Tamandua tetradactyla: one gene and its partners. The protein of the gene in region 1 binds, or shares a complex with, the protein of each later gene. Links are inferred from orthologs where the notes say so. Each region holds a gene or a part of one and is shown on either strand. Other genes may lie near its edges. The genes, in order: EIF4A3, MAGOHB and UPF3B.

Evidence for each region.
Region 2: EIF4A3 (region 1) and MAGOHB share a complex: the UniProt entries of both Homo sapiens proteins name them as parts of the mRNA splicing-dependent exon junction complex. The link is inferred for Tamandua tetradactyla from reciprocal best matches to the Homo sapiens genes EIF4A3 and MAGOHB.
Region 3: EIF4A3 (region 1) and UPF3B share a complex: the UniProt entries of both Homo sapiens proteins name them as parts of the mRNA splicing-dependent exon junction complex. The link is inferred for Tamandua tetradactyla from reciprocal best matches to the Homo sapiens genes EIF4A3 and UPF3B.

What each region holds. Positions count from the first base shown.
Region 1 is NC_135332.1:72,433,270-72,441,368, forward strand, and holds the start of EIF4A3 (eukaryotic initiation factor 4A-III), read right to left. Parts: upstream 3,106-8,099; 5' UTR 3,014-3,105; coding exon 2,845-3,013; intron 1-2,844. UniProt on the Homo sapiens protein: ATP-dependent RNA helicase. Involved in pre-mRNA splicing as component of the spliceosome. Core component of the splicing-dependent multiprotein exon junction complex (EJC) deposited at splice junctions on mRNAs.
Region 2 is NC_135333.1:73,225,142-73,232,429, forward strand, and holds the start of MAGOHB (protein mago nashi homolog 2), read right to left. Parts: upstream 3,018-7,288; 5' UTR 2,953-3,017; coding exon 2,859-2,952; intron 666-2,858; coding exon 607-665; intron 1-606. UniProt on the Homo sapiens protein: Required for pre-mRNA splicing as component of the spliceosome. Plays a redundant role with MAGOH in the exon junction complex and in the nonsense-mediated decay (NMD) pathway.
Region 3 is NC_135353.1:46,953,505-46,961,430, reverse strand, and holds the start of UPF3B (regulator of nonsense transcripts 3B), read right to left. Parts: upstream 3,091-7,926; 5' UTR 2,927-3,090; coding exon 2,771-2,926; intron 1,854-2,770; coding exon 1,747-1,853; intron 1,569-1,746; coding exon 1,462-1,568; intron 1-1,461. UniProt on the Homo sapiens protein: Involved in nonsense-mediated decay (NMD) of mRNAs containing premature stop codons by associating with the nuclear exon junction complex (EJC) and serving as link between the EJC core and NMD machinery.

The DNA of each region.
Region 1 (8,099 bases):
TGATGTTCTGGAGAGGCTGAGCTAGGTTTCAGGGCTTATCTGGACCAGGGACCCATCTGGAGGTTTCCGGAAAGTTACTCTAGTGCCTGGAACCCTTGTGGAATCTTATATATTGCCCTAGGTGCTCTTTAGGATTGGCTGGAATGGTCCTGGTTGCGTGCTGGCAGGTTACGACAGGTAGCAAGGTCTACCTGAAGCTTGTGTAAGAGCAACCTCCAGAGTAGCCTCTCGACTCTATCTGAACTCTCTGCCACTGATACTTTATTAATTATACTTCTTTGCTCCCTTTTGGTCAGGTTGTAATTGATGATCCCATGGTGCCAGGTCTGGATTCATCCCTGGGAGTCCTCTCCCATGTCACCAGGGAGACTTTCACCCCTGGATGTCATGTCGCACGTAGCGGGGAGGGCAATGATTTCACTTGCAGAATTGGGCTTAGAGAGACTGAGGCCATATCTGAGCAACAACAGAGGTCTTCCAGAAGTAACTCTTAGGCATGCCTATAGGAAGATCTAAGCTTCTCCGCTACCTACATAAGCTTCACCAGAGTAAGCCTCATGATCGAGGGCATGGCCTACTGATTTGCCAGTAGCCCTGATTTTCGAAGACAACTGTATAACTACCTATTTTCAATGTAACTGTGTGATTGTGAAAACATTGTGGCTTACCCAGGTATGGACAGATGAGAAAAAAATAAGGACAATAAATAAATAAATAATGGGGAAAGGGGATAACGGGTAAAAAAAATTGGGTAGACTACAATACTAGTGGTCAATGAGAGGGAGGGTCAAGGGGTATGGGATGTATGGGGTTTTTCTTTTTATTTCTTTTTTCTGGAATGATGCAAATGTTCTAAAAATGATCATAGTGATGAATACACAATTATGTGATTATATTGTGAGCTCCTGATTGTATACTTTGGGTGGACTGCATGGTGTGTGAAGATATTGCAATAAAAACATCAAAAAAAAAAAGTATGTGTATGCAACATCTAGAAGTATGGGTGCCAAAAGGTCATTGGTGGTCACCCCTGGAAATGGGGTTGGGGGAAGAGAACCTAATTTTTTCTTTAATTAGTTCTATCTTTGTGGCTGGATCTAAAAAGCCTGTATTGTTTTGTTCGTTTGTTTGGAGGAGAGTATTACTTTTTAAATTAAAAAAGAAAATCTGTAACACTGATTACAGCATTATGTGTGTGGGCTATTTGTGTTAACTCTAACTGCATTTAGTTCCTGCTTGGATCATACTGTGTGTCCTGAGATAGAGAATCCGGTCTCCAGGCAGCTGTGGTAATCACCCACCTGCTATCCTCTGGTACAGCAACTACCAAGGGAGGGGTTATTTTGAAGGACCATGTTCGAAGTAAACAAAACTTTATATACAAAATCATAGTTCAATTGTTTTTCAAAATACAGTACAAGTTCCCATCTTAACATAAAAGCAAATATAATATCCTTTAAATCCCTCGGAATGTGCAAGGACACAGTTGGGAACCAACAACAGTATTTTAGAACAAGGAGGCCCTGGGATGACGAGAACGGTGCCTGCCTCACTATCAGGGTCAAGGGTTTCTTTTCACCTTCCAAACCCTCAGACAGCTTTCCCCTCACTCTTCTAATGCCTTGTGCTATCAAGGACCTTTGGAAATTGTTTGGATGAACGATACCCTATCCCAAGCTTTAAACACAGATCATTCACCCATCAGGCCTGACTTCTTCCCTGGACTCCAAACTTGCCTGGACAACTGCCAACCCAAATGTCCAAGTGCATGGCTCACAGGCCTCTCAAGCTCTCCATGTCCAAGGTAGACAGAGCTCCTAATTTTGTCTTCCCAGGTCCTTACCCCATTTTCCCGCCCCCACCCCCCGTCAAGCAAATGGCACCATCACCCAACCAGTTACTCAACCCCCCCAGAAATCAGGCTGGGGTCCTCTGCCACTAGCATTCAAAATCACTGGCAAATTCTGTCACATCAGCTCCACTGTCTTCCTCTCTCGGTCCACTGCAAAGGCATCATCTCTCACCTAAACTAGAGCAAAAGCCTCCTAAGTCCCTGTTTCCAACCCTGCCTCACCTTCCCTCCAAATCCACAGAGCACCCGGAACACTCTCTTTAGAAATAAAATTCAAACTCTATCACCCCAAACAATGCTTTGCAAGATTCAATTCCTGCCTATCTCTCTAAACTCGCCCCTAAGCTCATAACAGGGGCTTCTTTAGATTCCTGGAATACACCGTGCTTGGGAAGATGTGCGGGCAGCTGGCACCAGCTGCCTCTGCGGGGACTTCTGTGGCTGGCGCTTAATTCAAGTCTCAGCTTAAGCGTCACTCCCCTTATCTATCTGCTCTATTTCAACTAAAACTGCCCCCACCCACCTCACAGTCACTCTCAGTACTGACTCACCCCGCTTTATTTTCCCCAATGAAATTATCACTGCCTGAAACAACCTTAGTTACACCTCGTCCTTCTCCCAAACAGTATTTAAGCCCCATAAAGGCAGGAAACTGCCTGGCTGGCTGCTAAATCCCCGTTGCCCAGAGCAGCACCTGTTGCCTAACGCCTAATGCGTATAAAACAGTTCCTATGAATGGAGACTCTTAAGGTGCCTGGAGACTCTGCACCCCTTGCTGAGCCTAGCAGGGCACTCTGCACCAGGGAGAGCATATGGGACGAAAGATGCAGACGTGGAGTGACGGCTGTGCGCCGGGGCGGGGGGAATCTCACGTCACTGATCCCCGGAGCCTCGGAGCCTCCGCCACGACCCCCCACGTCGACCTGCTCACCCAGTCGCCCCTCCCGGAATGCCGCCGCCCCGGGGCTCCCCTAAGCCCGCGCCCCACCGACCGTAGGCGTAGATGCCGCGCAGAAGATCCTCCCGCAGGCCCATGGTGTCGAACGTGGGGGTTACATCCACCTCCTCGCTGGTTTCGAACTCCACTTTGGTCATGTCTTCCTCTTTGAGCAGCCGCTTCCGCGCGGAGCCCGACGTAGCCATCGTGGCGGTGGCCGCCATGATTCCGAGGCCACCGAGAGACGAGCGCGCGGCGGACCGGTGGCTGGTCCCAGGCGGAAAGCGGAAACAGGCCGCTGCCGCCGGGAACTGACGCCATCGCGCGCGCGTGCGTGTGGCCTCCGTGCGTGTGAGCGTGCGTCGGACGCTCTTGGTCACGTGAAAGGGGTGAGGCGTTCGCCGCAGGGAAAGCGGTGGTGGATGAAGTTCTCGCGAGATCTGAAGCTCCCGCGGGATGTAGCGCCCGGAGCCACGCCTCCCTTCTCGAAACTTGGGGCGGCTGAGGGAGAGCGTAGCGTGGGTGGTTTGGGGGCTGTAGTCGTCGATGTCTGGGTGAGCGGATGAACAACACGGGGACACACTTGTGTGTCACTTATGGGTGCTGTGAATGGCCGCCGCGAGTCGGCGTAGGCGGGAGGCCCGTGGAAACTGGGCGAGGTCCCAGAGGGTCGCAGTGAAAATGTGAGCGCGCATCTCTAAAATCTGAGTGTCTGCTGGTTATGCGTTTTAGGCTGATGTTATCATCGGCATCTCTTTATGAGCCCCGTGTGAAATTCGTTTTTATTAAAACCGGCTAGAAACCATATTCAAGGGACCTGTTTGGGGAAAGTTTTGAATTTCTAGCTGTTTGTCCGCTCTGACGGGACTGCCCCTTTTTAAGGTCCCACGTGGGCAATACGAAGTTGCCCCGGAGCGCCGCGCGGTGAGAAGTGTCCAGGCTTGGACGTGAGCATCCTTCCGTAAAGGATCGCGTCGTTAGTACTTTTGTTTCATTTTTGCAGTTTGCTGTAATGTCAGGGCTTACACGTGGGATCGTGCATTAACGCCTAGATTTTGTCTGGAGGAGGCGCTAATAATTTCTCCCCTGGGGAAAAGATGAGGTCATTTAAAATACACGTATCCCGAACTAAAATGCAAATATTTCTGTATCCCTTAAAAATAAATAAAATATAAATTAAAAAAATATATATATTCGTATCTCTTGACCAAAGAAACAATTCAAAAGGAGACACAAGTATGTTAGGAACAAGGTGTTCCTAACAGCAAAACCCAGCAAATAACTTAAATGCGAAATGTAAAGGAACTTTTAATTAAATTATGTATTTTCAACCCAATGGAGTATTATGTGGCTGTGAAAATGATAAATATACTATGTATCAAATGTATATTACATACCATATATTAAGATGTATGTTAGTTATTGTAAAGGAATTAAAAATCCTCCAAGTATTTTGTAGAAAATTAGCAGTGGAGTTTAGACCACAGAAGACCAAATTCTGAAATGCTGAAAGAAAATGAAAATAAAATTCAGATCCTTGTTAATCTTAACAGAAGCAGAGAAATAGAATAATTCTAAGATGATAGAGGGAAAATTAAAACTTGTAGAAATATTTCAAAATGTTCAAGTTGTGTTCTGAGAAGATGTAAAATACGCATTTATGCTGACCAGAAAATAAATAAATAAATAAATAAATAAAATACATCTTGTATCAGAGTAGAGTTGTGCATTTAACCTAGCCAGCTTATTCTAAACTTTTCAAAAATGCCTTCAGAAACCCAGTTTCTCAGTGATGATTGAGCCAGATTTACCATCTCACTGAGTCCCTCTTTAATGGGTTAGAGTTACTGCTTTTTGACACCTGTCCAGTTCCGTGTTGTATGAGAGTTGTGTTTTAACTATTTGCAAGTTAAACTTCCAGCGAGTGTCGGCTCTGTCCTTTCGCCTTGTTCCCCTGGCTTCAGTCACAGGGTGTTCCTTTAATCCATGGCCTCTTGGCTGGAGTGTTTAAAGCACTGCTTTTGTGGAGGCTAATCTAAAATCAGGCAATAGTTTTATCCTCTGAACCAGGTACATGGGATTCTCAGTGGCTTGAAATATGTTGACCCAGAATGGGAGGGTGGGGCTTCTCTCACCTGAAGGCCTTGCCCTGGACTCAGGTCTGTCCATCCTGAGATGACTGACCTTCCATGGGCCTAGAAGGGTGTCAGAGCAATCTAAATACCAAATATTTGTAAGGCTGAAATTCTTTCTTATGTTTCGAGATAAATGAAGTCCGAAAGCAAGTTCTTATGTTTTCTTCTCACCCCATGAAGAATTATTCCATACCTTCTCTGAGGTGTACAATCTCAGTTTTGCAAGCAGGACTCTGGCGCTCTAGGGCTGTGTTGTGTAAGGAAATAGTGTTAAATTTCTCTTTAATAACTTTATATTGGTTACTGTTGCAATAATATTTTGGGTATCTTGGGTTACATAAAATATGCTATTTAAATTAATGCCTCTCATTTTTTTGCTTTTTGAGATATGGCTATTAGAAAATTTAAAACTACATATTAAATTCCTATTGGATAGTGCTGCTCTAGGGTACCCGGTAGCATATAAAAGAACCTTGCCAGGCATAAGGGGAAAGAATAGAAATTTAGTGATTTGAAAAATTCCAGTATCAATAAGGAGGGAATGAAATTATTCCAGTCTTCTACTCGTTCTGAATTTTTTTTTTTTAATCTTAGTCAGGCTGCCCCTAGACTTGTTTTTTGTCTTCACTTAGACTTGTCTTTTGCCTTCATGTTTTCATGGCAAGGTGTTCTAAACGTTTTATGCCATTTTCCTAACAATGTCCTTTTTGTTGTGTCTGAGTGTTCGTCTTAAGTTCTCTTCCTTTTGTTTGGGGCTCTCTACATTTCCTGGGGCTGCCATAGCAAAGTACCACCAACTGGGGGGCTCAAAGCAACAGAACTTATTCTCTTGCAGTTGTGGGGATCAGAGGTCTGCGATCACTGGGTTGGAAGGGCCACACTCCCCCTAAAACCCCTGAGGAGTGTTCTCCTTCAGCCCTTCCAGCTTTTGACAGCTCCCTGCAGTGCTTACTGTGACTTGGCTTGTAGCTGCATCAGTACTTTCACCGCCTCCATCTATACATGGCTATCTTCTCTCTAATGGGTGTCTGTCCCTCCTCTCCCCTTCCTATAAGGATATCCAGCATATTGGATTAAGGGCCCATCCTGCTGCAATATGGCCCCATCTTAATTTAACTAATTCTGTCTGCTGCAACCCTGTTTTCAAGTAATGCACAAGTATCTAGGGTTAGAACTCTGAAATATCTTTTGGGGAGTGCATTCAACCTGTAACTGGGGCTAATAATGGTTTAACCTAGAGTCCATGAAAATGAGAAGAGCTCAGGGGAAGGGGGCCGATGCTATCTCTAGGTGAACCATGCTCTCTAGGAAACCTGGAGAACCAAACAGATATGGTTCCTGCCCTCCTGGAAACTACAGTCTCATCAGGTGAGGTAGCCTCCTGCCCCCTGAAAATTGTAAACTTGGTGGTAACTGAGGCACTGGAGACAGAGCAGGTGCTGGGATAGAGCATGATGGGAGGTGCCCAGCATGACTGGGAGGGCGGCCCAGGTGTGATAAACCCTGTACGTCCACTCTTTAGGGAGCTCAGAGCTGGAGGTTCATGCAGTAGATCACAAAAGACCCATATTTTTGTCATGATGCAGGACGAAGTGTTCTGGGTAATTGCAAGGAGAACAAGAATTCTCAGGAGAACAATTTTTCTATTAAAACTCGATGCACAGGGCAGGCCACGGTGGCTCAGCAGGCAGAGTTCTTGGGTTCAATTCCTAGTGCCTGCCCATGCAAAAAACAAAAACAAAACAAAACAAAAAACCTCGATGCCCATTTTCACAAAACCTGGGCATTGCCCACCAAAGTCCTTGTGGCATCCAGACAATTTCCAAGCACTCATCACTAGTAGGCGATTATCCCTTCATTGGTCACACGAGAGAGCATGCCTCAGTTGCTCACAGTATGTGTTAAAACACTTGCTCTGAGGCAGCCTTGGCACATCAGCATCTACTTAAGAAGCAAGAATTGACAACCCCCTGCTATCTAATCCCTCTGCTTACATTCCCAGACTCATGTTTGGAGTCTTATCAGAAACCTCAATTAGCAATCCAAGTAGAGAGTGCAGGCAATGTGATATGTTAACCACTTGACTAGTGGAAGAGTGAATGGCCAGCTAGAAAAGCTAAAGTGACCTACAGGGAGGAGCAGAGTGCCCTGCAGAGTGGACGTGCCGGGTTTCCACGCTGGACCCATCAGGCCAGCCCCACTGGGTGCCTCAACGCCAGCGGGGGGGGCGGGGGTACCCATCGTGCACCCTCTCAGCACCCACTCTGGCTCTGGTGACTCAGTTTCTACAGAGTTTAGGATTTTCGGGGGGCAGGGGGCTTCCTCTCCTGATTAAACGGTAGTCTCCAGAAGGGCAGGGACCTTGTCTGTCTGTTCTCCGTGTTTCCCCAGCACACAGTAGATGTTTAGTCAATACCTGTTGGCTTGTTGACTGCTCACTTGATGTCCAGGGCAAGAAGCGGGGAGGTACACGGGACCCAGGGAGGTTGGCCAGCTCACCACGTGGCTGCCTCAAAAGCCGGCCCATCCCTTTCCTGATCTGTGTTGGCTCCGGGAGAAGGTTCTGGAGGGTCATCCTGTCCAGGAGTGGGAGCAGAGCTGCTCTGCTGGGCTGGGTTTCTCATGAATCACCTCCATACAAGTCCATGCCCTGGACAGAAGTGACCTCCATCCAAGGGACTGTCCCCAAAGCAGGGCTTCCTGTCAGAAGTCCACACCCATTTCCAGATACTAAAGAGTAAACACTCCTCCTTTCCCGGCGCTGTCCTTTCTCGGTCCTTCCTGCTGGGGTGGGGCGCCTCACCAAGTGCTGTCCAGACCCACCTGCAGCGTCCACAGTGTCCGGCCTTGCCCCTGCCCCTGCGGGGAGTCAGGCTTTGGGCCACCGGTTGCCCTTTCCTGGGGCGCTGTTCTAGGTGCTGAAGCCAGAGGCCGACAGGACAGGCAGAACCTGCCCTCGGAGTTGGCGTTCCAGCGGAGGGCAAGGCCCACGAACACAGACATGAGGAAGACAATCGTGGGCTTTGTAATTACTGTGGAGAAAATAAAATAAGGTGCAGGGGATGAGAGTTCCTGGGTGGTGCTCTCCCCAGATGGCTGCGGGGAGGGGCGGCCTGAGCGGAGTTGAGAGGAGGTGGGATGGAAAGACCGGGGCGGGGAGGAGTGTCCGGAGCAG
Region 2 (7,288 bases), on another chromosome or scaffold:
GGGATTGAGAAAACCTTCTTGACCCAAAGAGGGAAGAGAGAAACGAGACAAAGTAAAGTGTCAATGGCTGAAAGATTCCAAAGAGAGTTGAGAGGTTATCCCTGGAAGTTATTGTTAGACATTAAATAGATATCACCTTTTTAGTTAAGGTATAACAGAGAGGCTAGAGGGAACTACCTGAAAATGCAGAGCCATGTTCCAGTAGCCATGTTTCTTGAAGATGATTGTATAATGATATAGCTTTAGCAATGTGACTGTGTGATTGTGAAAACCTGGTGTCTGATGCTTTTTTTTTATCTACCTTATGGACAGATAAGTAAAACATACGGTTTAAAAATAAATAAATAGGGGGAACAAATGTTAAAATAAATTTAGTAGATTGAAATACAAAAATGAAAGGGAGGGGTATGGTATGTATGAATTTTTTTCTGTTGTCTTCTTCTTTTTTCTGAATTGATGCAAATGTTCTAAAAATGATCATGATGAATATACAACTATGTGACAAGAGAAAAAAGAATGTTCACATTGTGTGTTTACTGGTTTTATTAATAAAATTTTTTTTAAAATGAACTAAATATAAGAATTAGATATTTAAAAAGAACTTACCTCTTTTCTGATCATAACATCATTTTTGTAATTGCTGTTGTTGGCATATCTAAGCTTTCCTATGGGAAAAGAAAAAAATTCAATCTGTAACAGCAGAAAAGGCTAAAAAAATATTGTAAGCAATTTTGAAGGTAAAGACCATTTTATGCTGCTATTTTATTATTATTTCCTCCTTCATGCTTGGTGAAAAAGATGCTCAATAAATATCTGTGGGTAAGTTGGCTGAAGCTAGCCAAATTTTTAAATATTCCATTCCTACAATATATGACAAAAGGGTCATTTTTAAGGCCCCTTTTCCTAGCTATCACAAATTAGCAAAGGATTTTGGAAAAGGTACTAACATTTATTTTTCAGGTTATAAATCTGAACTGGTGCTAAGTGGTTTAACTTAGCACATCTAATCGAATCTAAAAGCAAACCTTAGAAAGGTTTTATTACCTCTATTCACAGGTGAGTAAACAAAGTAACTTGCCCATGGTCACACAATATTCAAATTTATATATACTGTCTTCCTATACTCATGCTTTCTCCACTACTTCAAAATGTTCTTTTAATTATTTTCCTTCAACGTAAATGTAATTATAAATATGGCAATACTAATGCTTTAGAATTGTGACTAGAAAGTATACAGACTACACAAAGCTCCCATACAGAAGTTGACTAGTTTGTTGGCTGGTTTATATTTAATTTTAACACATCATGACTTTCATATTCCCTGATGCACACTTCTCATTGCCAACTCGTTGACCAGGTACAGAAGCAAATTTTGTCTTGATCATCTGCATTTAATGGTAATAGGGTACCCTACTGAGGTGTATCCTTTAGGTACTGTCTTTGCGAGTCATTGTTACTGATGGAAGTATGTAGAATGGTTTGACAGCAGGTAAATGGATAAGAAGCACTGTTCTGGGATGAAAATTCCCTAATAGCCTCAGGGTACTTCATTTATGTAACTGAGTAAAAGTGATATTGAAATGCTGGATGGTGGTCACAGGTGAGGATACTGTGAAAACTGTATCATGTTAAGGAATAAATAGGTGAAGAATTCAGCTCCTTTACCTCCTTAGCTAAATTTGGAAAAGATATGGGGAAAACAAGCCTGAATAAGGTAATAAGGGTTTCTCATCTGCAGAGCAATAGTTACCTAGATTCCTGCCTGAAATGTCTATACTCTTCCCCTTTCCTAATATGTGACCCTCTCCCTAATTTTTCTTTCATGCTTTCGTAGAACCTTTTCCAAAGCATGATTACAGCACTTCTTATCCATACTGCTGTATGGTCTGTTTCATTTCTGTGTCTTTTACCAAGACACAACTCATTGAAGGCAATTAAAGAGTCTTACCATTACAGTATTCTCAATTTCTGTATATGACACTTTGCCCCAACACATAATATGCATTCAAAAAGGAAAAATCTAATCCAGTTGAACTGTCCTGTGACAGGCAGGCAGAGTTCAATACGCAATAAAGCACTTTAAAAGAGTTTGTGCAGTCAAGAGATCAAATTTGCTGTACATTTCGTGAGTGCTGGGAGTTTCACCTCGCCCTCTACTCATACTGTTTTGGTAGTCTGGACTATCTCCCTCAAAGGTCATGAAAATACCTACTCTTATTCCAAAACTCATTTCTAGGAAGCTTTTTCTGACCCTCATCAGATAGAGCTAATCACTAATCACTTTTCATGTCTGAATTCCTAACGTACTACTGTGGTAGACAATCGAACCCCAAACACATCATTTCACTCTTCTGTATACACTTCGGGGACTCTCCCCTTCAGAGCAGGTGTCATTTCTTTCTTGACCTGCTGCTTTACACACACTGCCTGAATGAAAAAAAGTGAATGAATGGGGAGAACGAAAAGTAATCAGTCACTGGAAAATTTTAAGCATACACAGGCCCACCGCTGGGTAGGGTGTTGTTATAACTGCCCAAGTATTAGACCTTCTGCCACACGGATTCTAGGATTCTGAATACCACTGATTCAACTTTTCAGTGTGTGACAGTATTAGCTTTTCTGAACTCACACCAATTAATCCTTTTAGTCACAAGAATCAACTTAGGCTTCCTATATTCTTCAGCTACTTACTTCGGCTCAAGCAGCGGCTTCAGCTGCCACAGAACACTTTCAAGTCCACCGCGGCTTGCTCGCTCCACCCCACACCCCTAGTCCTTCGCCGCCTCTTCTCCTGGCTTCCCCTTTCCCGACACCCCCGCAGAGTTGCAGTGCCAGCAGCCCCCCCCCAGCCCACTCACCATCCGGCCGAAACTCAAACTCCAGAAACTCGTGTCCAAATTTGCCTTTGTGCCCTACGTAGTAGCGTAGGTAGAAATCGCTGGCTAGAGACATTTTTGTTTCCGGGAAGCCGGCAGAAGGCCTGGGCAACGTGCCGTCCGGCGCCTGGGAGTGACGTCAATCGCCCCGGATTAGCGCGTCATCGTGGTCGCCGCGCTTCCGCCTCGCAGATTCTGCGAAGGCAAGAACAATGGCTGTGTCTCGTGGGAGAGGCTCCGGAGAGAGCAAAGGCAGGTCAAAAGTGACTTGAACTGCTTTGCGGAGATCGGAAGTACGCTATTTTAAAAATTAAACGGATTTTGTCATATTAGCAGAAGACGAAAGTATGAAAATACGGTACTGGTTTTTTGTGTGTGCGCTTAGTGCTAAGGATTGCAAGTCGCTTTATTCTGGTCTCAAGTCTCGCGCAGTTGTAGGCGGTGGATGTGGCTTTACCCAATTTTAACTGGTTAAGTGAGTGAAGATAAAACCCAGAGTCGATGGGAAATTCGTCATACAACAACTTTCTCTACGTGATTCCTAACACCGGGTTTTCCTTTTGAACGATGATTGTTAGTTTTCCTGGAGACGGACGCCTGTAATAGAGACACAAAGTATAGAAGTAGCCCTCTGAGGAGATGTCTGAAGTTTTGAAAAACATATTGAAACTGAAAATTCTGACAGCCTTGGAATAAAAGAGTTCCTTTAATAGTAGAAACTTCTTAGATGCTTCATTCACTGTGTAACTGTTAACCTTTAGTGACCTATGGAGTTTTGGCAGTTTGACTCAAGATCAAATAACGGTTTAATCCAGGTTTCTCATATAGATAGATATAAAATTGATAAAAATAAATTGAGAAAGTGAAGGTAAGTTCTACTGTGAGGTAGTTTTGAAGATGGAAAAGACAAGGTGAGCTTTTACACAAAGTCTGGTTTTCTGATATTGGACAACCTTCTGTTACGAACAGTTATGTGTCAGATGACCCTTAACCTTCACTGGAATTTCATGGAAAGAGTAGCAGTCCGAAGACCTGAGATTCAATCCCAACAGAACTACTACCTAGTTCAAGTTAGTAGTTCTAACTTGTTCAAATCACTGTATGTTCATCAAGGAAACAGGTGTACTACAAACAAGCTTTGCCAAACTCATGAAATTGTTGATTGGAGTAAATGAGATAATGTGTGCGAATAAGCTTTGAAATTTATAAAATACTACGTAATGCATTTTAACAAGCATTTTCTTATTTGTCAGAAATAAAAAGAAAGACTTTTGCACTTGTAGTCTAGAAGAGAAAACAAACATGGAGAAAGGTATTAGCACAAGGAAGCAACTGCTATATTAAAAATTTGTGGAAAAATATGCTGATAGTGCAGGAGAGGAGCAAGTGTATTGCAGAGAGAGGAAGCTGAAGAAAGGTATCAAGGAAGGCTTGTGAAAAGGTGTGCTATTTTAATTGGACATTGACAGATAACTTCAGTGTGTCTTCAGTGGGATGATATGGCCTGGGCAAAGGCACAGTGTTATGAAAATACTTGGTGTTGGAGAATCCAAGAAATGCAGTATACCTAGAACATAAGATTCTCTGAAGTAGAATAACTAGAAAGACAGACTGGGCCAAGGTATGTTGGACCTTATAAATAAGGTGTTACTATATAACTGTTTCTATAGAAATTTTACTTGGTATGAACTACTATAGGCCACCATTATGGAAAATACATAAGAAACATAAGGCACCATCCCTAACCACTACAGTGACAAACCAGTCCAGTTTGTCCAGCCTGTAAGGTTTGCTAGGATGTCAAAACTTTCAGTTTTAAAACCTGTGAGATCCCAGACAAAGATGATGTGGTCATTGTACTTACCACATGAATAACCCACTGAAATTTAACCACAATATTCAATACAACTCTGAAATATTTACTGTAATCCATTTATTTATGTGGTAATTTGGAGCTATGCAACCAGAAGAATATGTTTTTAAAATTAATCTGTTCCTCTGGGTATGAACCCATTGTAAGTAGGACCTTTTGAGGAAGTTACTTCAGTTAAAGTATGTTCCAACTCTATCAGGATGGGTCTTAATCCTATTACTGGAGTCTTTTATAAGTAGAATGAAATTCAGACAAATAGAAAGCAAGAAGTTGAAGGTCAGAAGCCTTCAGAAGAGACCACCATGTGCATTGCTGTGTGATGCAGGCGCCAAGGACCAAGGATCACCAGCAGCCATCCCTTGAAGGCCACTCTAGGGGAAGAAAACGTCACCATGATGATACCTTGATAACAATAAAGCATAGATTTGGACTTCCGGACTAAAACCATGAGTCAATAAGTTCCCATTGTCTAAGCCAACGCATTACATGGTATTTCTTTGAGCAGCCAAGAAAACTAAAGCAATTTAGTTTCTATGGGAAACCTCGTTCATTGTCTTTAGATTTCCTAATCTGTTTCCTTCAAATTTTTAGTCTATGTGCCAGTATTCCTCTTCATGTCTACTTAAAGAGAGCTATGGATACTAGAATTTTTGACTATGTAAATAAAGCTCATGGAATATGCAAAGATTTAAGGTCTTTGTCAATGGGCCAGTTTTGGTTTTTACCCTCCTAGAAAGGCTTTTAGGCTCAAGACTAATCCCCTCTAGCTCTACCTGTTTTTATGATATAATATGAAAATATATTTACTCAGCTCTTCATATTTTAACCAAAATAGCAAAGCTAAAATATGTATTTCTCTAATCATGATAAAGATTGCAAAGTGACTAAAGCATTTGTGTTTTGTAGTCTTCTCAGATGTTACCCAACAACAATGTGGAAATGTTCTGTGTAGACAGCACTTGAAATGTAGCTAGTGTGACTGAGGAACTGAATTTTTAATTTTTAAATATTTAAAAATTTTTGTTCATCTAAATTAATGTTTAAGTAGCCACATCTGGCTAGCATGATGGACAGTGCACTTGTATAAAGCCCTTTTTTTCTTTTTACATTTTTACTTGGGCTGGGAATAGTGAAAGCATTTTGTGAGTGTGTTTAAATCTCAGTAGCTCTAGGCTTCACATTGCGGCATACTTACTGGTATCACCACAATTTACTTATGAAAATAAATGTTTGGGCTGCTTAAATGAAGGCAAATAAAAGTCTTTCATTTGGACTGCTGTTTTCAGCTTTGCTAACACAACCTATCTTTGGTCAGCTTCAAAGCACCTACATGAGGATGGTGCAAGATTAATTGATGAAGAATTCTTCCTACCATCCTGGAGCCCTGGGTTCAATTCCCGGACCCTGCACTTCCGAAAAAGGGAAAAAGAAATCAAAGCACCCTTGTGAGGTATTAGGAAATAAGCACGTGATTTCCAATTTCAATGAAAATTGAAAAGAAATGATTTAATCAAATAATACACAACTTTAAAATTGGCAAAATAATTCTTTCCTGCTACAGTTTTTTTGTCTGTGTGTGTGTTTTGTTTGTTTTAATTTTTGCTTTCAGGTAAGGGGGCCGGGGTCAGAGATGATTCTTTATCATTACAAATTTATTCTTTAAAATGTTCTGATTTCTCCTACATCTAAAATTCTCTCTTCCTTTGATCGGTTTTTCATATCCCCACTGTCCTCCCCTCCTTTTTTTTTTTTTTGTCTTTATACCTATTTCAAATTATCAAATCATTCCTATTTTCAATTTTCAGAAACATGGGCTAACTTTCCTGTGATAAACATTGGGGGTGGTAGTTTTACTCTCAGTTTTCTTTATTTTATCAATCACTTTTGAATAGTCCTTTATCCGTCTGTCTACCCTTGTCTTCTGAAATAGTCTTCCTATAGAATTTTAACCATATCTGTCTTTTTAACCACTCAGTGGTATTACTTTTTAACTAAGAGAGCCACTGTCATGCAGAAAAAACAAAATTTCCACACCGTTCTTTCTCAGATATGCTCATTCATATATTATGAGCACTTGCAGCTATTCTAGATTATCATGGCATGATATATTTAACTCCATTATTCAAACTAGGAATTGTTTTCTAGTGTATGATGATATTGAATGCTTCTAACATGTATCATAACTGCTAATTCTTGTGTCCAAAACAACAACGAAAGAGTCTGTTGAATTAAGCATAGGCCTGGTCTGGATCTTTCAGTACTTGAATTATTTAAGTGAGTTATGTTAGTCCAGAATTTTATACATATATAACAGCAATGTTAAGATTAATAAAATTCTATCCATTAACTTATTTTTTCTTTTTAAAAACAGTGAAAAATCCCCACTATTATTCAAGTTTAACAGCAGAATACCCTAAATCTAATGTAAGGATACTAATATCTTCATGAGCATAATTTGAGAACTATTGGTTCAGACTATTCCAAATTAAACTATGTTATCAAGTTTCCATTAGTTACAGTATCCAAGTAGATATTTTCA
Region 3 (7,926 bases), on another chromosome or scaffold:
TTATTTAAATGTAAGGGATGAAAAAGGAAGAAAAGTTAAACACAATTCAGATCAGGCTAAATGATTAGGAAATCATTACTATATACTGGAATAAAGAAGCAGCTGGTTTGGGGTATTAATAAAAGTTGGCCAAACACAGTTAGCAATCCAACTTTTACTGGCATATTTGCTGATAAAGAATGAAAATTTTTTTACCATATGATTATTCCATTCTTGTTATATAATCAATAACTCACAATATCATCACATAGTTGTATATTCATTATCATGATCATTTCTTGGAACATTTGCATCAATTCAGAAAAAGAATTAAAAAGAAAACAGAAAAAAATTCAAACATACCATACCCCATACCCCTCCCTTTCATTGATCACTAGCATTTCAATCTACTAAATTTATTTTAACATTTGTTCCCCCTATTATTTATTTATTTTTAGTTAATATATTTTTCTCATCTGTTGATAAGGTAGATAAAAGGAGTTTCAGACACAAGGTTTTCACAATCACACAGTTACATTGCAAAAGCTCTATCATCTTAAAGAAACATGGCTACTGGAGCACTGCTCCACACTTTCAGGCAGTTCCCTCCAGCTTCTCCATTAACATCTTAACTAAAAAGGTGATATCTATTTAATATAAGAATAACCTCCAGGATAGCCTCTTGACTCTGTTTGTAATCTCTCAGCCACTGACACTTTATTTTGTCTCATTTCACTCTTCCCCCTTTTGGTCGAGAAGGTTTTCTCAATTCCTTGATGCTGAGTCCCAGCTCATTCAAGAATGACTTTTTATCAACTTTGAAATAATACCGAAAAAACAAAACAAACGACACTCCATTTACCTAGGATTGCAGAACTAAAGGAAAAGTGACCAATGGCAGTTTAGACATTCCCTATCTATAGCTTATAAGCAGCAGATAATAAAAAGAAAGCTAAGGTGAAAATGTTTCTTCCCTATAGATTGGATCCTCCTGGGTACAAAGAGGAACATCATCAAATTTCATGTCTTAATTACATACAAAATAGGGAGAATTCTGTGTTGCATGTAGAATACATTAAACAGTATTCTAACTGGAAACTATGGGCTATAAGGGATTTGAATTAAATAATTAAATAAATGTTGGTCCTTGAAGCAAGATGATAAGTAAATATATAAAACTTGTCTTACAAGTTCAAAGAGTCATTTATCAGTACTGCTGTTGAGACTAGTAAATAATCCAAATAACGTTATGTAATCCAGGGCACAAAATTTATTGTATGAAAAAAAATTGGTGGCAATTTCATGCAGGTGATCAAACCACAGAAATAACAGATCAATAAAAATACTCAAGGGCTGTGAAAAATCACATATATATTTAAAAGACTGCAATAAGGTTTTCACATGTGTAAAACTTTTTAAATGTTGTATATTTTACCACCCAGGATTTTAGAAACGCTATGAAGGCACTGAGGATATGCTCACCTTTATTGTCAAGGAATACATAACCATCAAAGCGATCCCTGAATAAAATAATGTCCTCTTGGTTTTTAAAGTTGATGTATGCTCTGGCATACATATGAGGATACAGACTGCAGAGAGGAAAGCAATTGTGTTAATAAACTGGTGGGTATCTGGTTGAATTACAAGTATATGTACATTAAATAAAGAGACAGTTTCAAAAATCAAATTGAAAATATTAGTAGAATGCAAAGAACAGAAGAAATCTTTTTCTAATTTACCACCCCATCCCACTTTTTTTTTTTTTACCTAGTATCATTAGAAAAAAACTCAAAATAATCATGCTCTGGCATAGGCTGAAGATGTTCCTGAAGCTGCTCCTTGGTCAAAGTGGGAGGTAATCTCCGAATCACCACCTTAAAAAAATGAATAAAGGAATTAGTAAAAATCAATTTCCTGTCAATCCTGAAGGAATCATAATCCCTAAGGAAGGATGAGATTTAAAAGTCATTACTTACAAAAACCCAGGAGAAAATATTTTCTGTAGCCTAACGATCAGAATTAGTCAAACATAATAGTAAGGCGGTTTTAAAAAAATTCCTACAAATGAGAACCGCTTGGCATTAGGAAAATCTTAGAGTCTGCTCTTAACTCGCAGTCCCGCGGTATTCTAGGTTTACGCACCATTTTTCTATTACCCATTTTTCAACAGGTCTAGTGGTAAATCAGTAAGTCAACCCTGGTCTTTTGTGGGTGCCAAGGACTCTTGATTCATTAATCTTTCTCTCCCACATCTAACACCTCCTAAAACAAAATCCTTCATTCAATTCAATGAATTCAAACTCTAACGAGCATGAAAACATTCACACCACTGCCCCCGAAATAAGATGCTCCCCATTCGCCTTCCACAGACCATTAATTCCCCCTACACTCTTCCCCAACTCGCTTCCATTAATATTGCTATCACAGGCTACTCCCGCACCTGATGTTCCCTTCACTTCCTAATAATTTTCCTCAATAAACTTTTAAATTTCCGATTCTCCTCACTGTCGCGCACCGTCTCACTTCATAATTATCATCTCACAGGTTTGACCTAAACCCTTCTCGTCTGGGGAGCCCCCCTTTTTCCTCATTCCCACGGCCGGGCTTGGCCGGTAGGAGCTCCCCCCTCCCCTCATTTCGAGCAAGTGGATGAGGCACTGTGGTGCGATTTTCATTCAGGCGAGGGAGGAAGAGGGGGACGAGGAGATGAAGAGGGCACCCCCATTCCCAGCCATCATCCACTGGCGGCGGGGCGTTCCGCCCTCTCCCCGGCCAACAGTCGACCGAGTACCTTGCTCATTGCCTCTTTCTTCTCCTTACTGCGATCCAGCTTATCTTCTCCCTTGGCACTGTCCCCCAAAGTCCCACAGCTGCTGCCGGTAGCCCCCGGCGGCGTTAGCAGGGTTACCCGCTTCTCCTTCGGCCTATGCTCCTTTTCTTCCTTCATGGCCACGGCTACGCTCTTCACAGATCTGCTCCGCCAGAACGCTGCTGCGCCGGGAACCTAACGAAGCCAGCCCAGCTCCCGTCAGAGCTCCGCCCCCAACAATGCCCCTAGTTACGAGCTCCGCCGCTCGTTTGATTGGGCAGTGCCAAGACCTCGCGAGATTTCATGCACCAGGCTTCCCTCCGAAGAAAAGTTTCAACACCTGGTGCTTACTTCTCGCACGGCCGAATCCTGTCATATCCCAGACTCCCTTGGGGCCCGCTCCTTCGCACAGGATTGGCTAACACCACCGTCTTAAATAAAAAGACTCTTTCGAAAACTACAAGTCCCGGCATACAAAGCAGTTGCCCCTTCTGGTTGAGAGAGGCCAGGGTCCCTATTTGTAAGTAAATCCAATCCTTTAATCTTGAAAGATATAGGTTCTGCGGGCTGCACTTAGCTTTGTTTTCCTCGTATAAATCCAGTGTTATCCAAAATTTGCCTTGCTACGGGAACGGCTTGTATTTTCTTGATATTCTGAAGTGTACTTTCAGAAACTTCAGTATTTTCCTTATATTGATTAGGATCCATAGCTGATTCCCAGATACTTAATAAATACTCATAAGATTTGGTATATGAAGGATTTAATATGACTAAAATATGTGAGATTTGTTTTCATCACTCGTTTATAATTTAAGAAAGGATTCTATTATTGTATTGATGCCTCACAAGGAGGAAAAAATAAAGTAAAACCTACTTTGACTTAGTTGGGGTAACCCTCCTCAGTTAAAAAAAGTCAATTATACATTATTCTTTTTTTAAATTATTTTATTTTATTTTTTTAAATACCAAAAAACACCTAACAAACACAAACATTCCTATTTTGATCATTCCGTTCTACATATATAATCAGTAATTCACAATATCATCACATAGTTGCATATTCATCATCATACTCATTTCTTGGAACATTTGCATCTATTCAGAAAAAGAAATAAAACAAAAACAGAAAAAAATTTTATACATACCATACCCCTTACCCCTCCCTTTCATTGATCACTAGCATTTCAAACTAAATTTATTTTAACATTTGTTCCCTACATTATTCTTAATAGACCCAAACTGGAGAGAGTCCAGTGTCGGTCAAGTGATGAATGATTAAAAAAAAAAAGTGCGTTGGTACGAGGAAATACACCGCAACAAAACGAACTGATATCACGCATCAGAATTGATGAATCTCAAGCTAAGTATGCTAAGTAAAAGAATGCAGACGCAAAGAGAGGACATGAGGACATGCTGTATGATTCCACTTACATGAAATTCTAAAGAAGGGCAAAATTGTAGTGATAGAAACCAGATCAGTGATTGCCAGGTACAAGGGAAAACATTTAGGGAAAAAGGGGAGAAATGGAAGAGAAAACAAATGATAAGCTAGAGAGATACACAGATATTCACATAAGGCAGGATACCAACTTAAGGATACATTAGGAGCCCAAAGCAGAAAGTTGGCTCAGTACCAAATTCCTACTTTTGCTAATGTCTAGAATATATTATTCAGATCTGTACTAAAATTTTCCCACCCCTATTTCCCAGCCTATGCTGAGTTCCTAATGCCTGTTGCAAAGACTGTTTCCCTGAATTTGTGGCCTGTTTTGCACTTTTGCTTTCAATACCTGCCTGTTCTTATAAGCCTTGCTTAAGTATATTCCTTTGACATCCTCCATAACTCTGCACTTACATCTTGGTGTATACCCCCATTTTGAATGCTCATTAGCTTTAAACCACCAGTTACATATCAGTTATTGGAAATAGAGTGTCCCAGGGCTCGGTCCTTAGAACTCTTTTCTATCGATACTCCTTTGTTGAGCTTATCCAGTCTTCTGACAACTCTAAATGTATATATCCACTGTGTATCTCTCTCTCTGAATTCCAGACTCATAGCGAATTGTTTACTTGACATCTCCTCTTGGGTATCTAATGTCTCCAGTATCTCTGAACACATTTGTTTCGGTTTCCTTGTTGCTAAAGCAAATACAATTCAATGGGTTATCGTAAACAATTGGAATTTGGTGGCTTATGGTTTGAGGTTAAGAGAAGTCTTAATTGAGGTGTTATTAATGCAATGCTTTCTCCCAGAAGACTGGAGTTGTTTGCTGCTGCCTGCAATGCTTGGACCTTGGCTTTTCTGTCACATGGCAATGCATATGGCAGACTCTCCTGGCTTCTCCTTTCTCTTCTGGGTTCCATTGACTTTCAGCTTTTGGCTGCTCCCTCTGGCTATCTCTCTTTCTGTAACCGTCCATTTAAGGCTTTCAGTGATAGGGTTAAGACCCATACTGATTCAGCTGGGCCACACCTTAATTGAAAAAACCTCATCAAACATTTCTATATACAACAATTCATACCCACAGGAATGGATTAAGTTTAAGAATATTTTTCTTGGTTACATAGCTCTAAAACATCACAACATCCAAAACATAACACTTGATCTTCCCCCACACCAATTGTGTTAGTCCTAGTGTTGCCGTAGCAAATTATCACAAACTTAATGGGTTAAAATATCACAAATTTATCTTGTGGTTCTGTAGGTTGAAAGTCCAACATGGGTGTGCTAGTTTGAAGCTGTTATGTACCCCAGAAAAGGCCATGCTCTTTTAATCCATTCCTTTGGGTGCAGACCTGTTGTAGGTGGGACTTTTTTTTCAATTAATTTTTAAATTTTTAGAAAAGATATGACAAGAAAGAAACACAAATATTCTTAACATATGATCATTCCATTCAACATATATAAATCATTAATTCACAGTATCATCACATAGTTGCATATTTATCATCATGATCATTTCTTAGAACATTTGCATCAATTCAGAAAAAGAAAAAGGAATAGAAAAATTCATACATGCCATACTCCTTACCCCTCCCTTTCATTGATCACTAGCATTTCAATCTAAATTTTAACATTTGTTCCCCCGATTATTTATTTTTATTTCATATGTTTTACTCGTCTGTTGATAAGATAGATAAAAGGAGCATCAGAAACAAGGTTTTCCCAATCACACAGTCACATTGTGAAAGCTGTTTCATTATACGATCATCTTCAAGAAACATGGCTACTAGAACACAGCTCTACATTTTCAGACAGTTCCTTCTAGCCTCTCCATTACATCTTAAGGTGATATGTATTTAATCCGTAAGAATAACCTCCAGGATAACCTCTCAACTCTGTTTGGAATCTCTCAGCCATTGACACTTTGTCTCATTTCACTCTTACCCATTTTGGTCAAGAAGGTTTTCTCAATCCCTTGATGCTGAGTCCCAGCTCATTCTATTATTTCTGTCCCACGTTGCCAGGAAGGTCCACACCTTTGAGAGTCATGTCCCTCGTAGACAGGGGGAGGGCAGAGAGTTTGCTTGTTGTGTTGGCTAGAGAGAGAGGCCACATCTGAGCAACAAAAGAGGTTCTCCTGGGCGTGACTCTTAGGCCTAATTTTAAGTAGACTTGACCTATCTTTTGTGGGGTTAAGTTTCATATGGACAAACCCCAAGATTGGGGGCTCAGCCTATAGCTTTGGTTGTCCTCACTGCTTGTGAGAATATCAAGAATTCAACTTGGGGAAGTTGAATTTTCCCCCTTTCTCACCATTCCTCGAAGGGGACTTTGCACATACTTTTTTATTCACTGTTAAAATCACTCTGGGATTTATCGGGGCATCACTCTGGACAAACCAACAAAATATCATGCCCTACTCAGGGTTCCATGTACTTACGGTATTCAATTAAGCCATCTACATAAGTTATATTAGGAAATGCACTAGTCAAAATATAAATTTTGTACCAAAACATTTTTTGCTATAGTGTGACACATAGTTAAAATTTTAAAATATTAATTACTATCAATTTTCAACACCCTGCAGTAATGACGTTCCTATGTTCTTGTAGGTGGGACCTGTTGATTAGGGTTTTTCAATAGAGATGTGACCCAACCCGTTAAATGTGGGTCTTAATCCTTTTGCTAGACTCCTTTAGGAGAGAAATGACAGAAAAAAACCCAGAGAATTTCATAGAGAAAACCCGCAGGGAAGTTAAGAGAAGACCTACAGAAGCTCAGAGAGGAAGCCACTGAAGCCAGAAGCTGGAAGCAGTAAAACCCAGGAGAGAAGGACTAACAGACGCCGGCCATGTACCTTCCCATGTGCAGAGGTTTCCCAGATGCCAGTGGCCTGTCTTCAGAGTCAGGTGTCATCCTGTTGATGCCTTAATTGGGACATTTTCATGGCCTTAGAACTGTAAATTAAAACTATAGGTTGTAATTAATGAATCCCCATTTTAAAAGCCAATCCATTTCTGGTATATTGCATTCTGGCAGCTTTAGCAAACTGAAAGAGTGGGTCTCATTGGGCTAAAATCAAGGTGTTGGCATGACTGAGTTCCTTTCTGTAGGCTTTAGGAGTGAATCTACTTCCTTGATTTCTTTGTCTTTTCCAGATTCTTGAGATTTTACTCATTTTCATTGATTTGTGGCCCCTTCATCCGTCTCCAAAACTAGCAACATAACATCTTTCTAACCCTGCTTCTGTTATCATGTCTCTTTCCATGATCCTCTTTTCTGCCTCCACCATCCACTTTAGGGAACTCTGAGTATATTGGTCTCACCTGGATAATCCAGGCTAATCTCCCTATTTTAATAGTCAATTAGTAATCTTAATAACACCTGCAACCATAAATGCCCTTTGCCATGTAACCTAACATAGTCACAGTTCCAGGGAATAGGATGTGGACATCTTGGGTGATGTTGGTACTGCAGCATTATTATGCATATCAAACACTGTAAACTTTCTTTTTAATTAAACTTTTAAAATTTTTTATTAGAGAAGTTGTGGTAATTAAACTTTTAACTAAAGTATAACACATGTATAGACAAGTGCCCAAGTAATAAGTGTATAGCTTGATGAATTTTCACAAGGTGAACACACTCATGTAACTAGTTTTGAGATTGAAACAAAATATTGCCAGGATTCCAG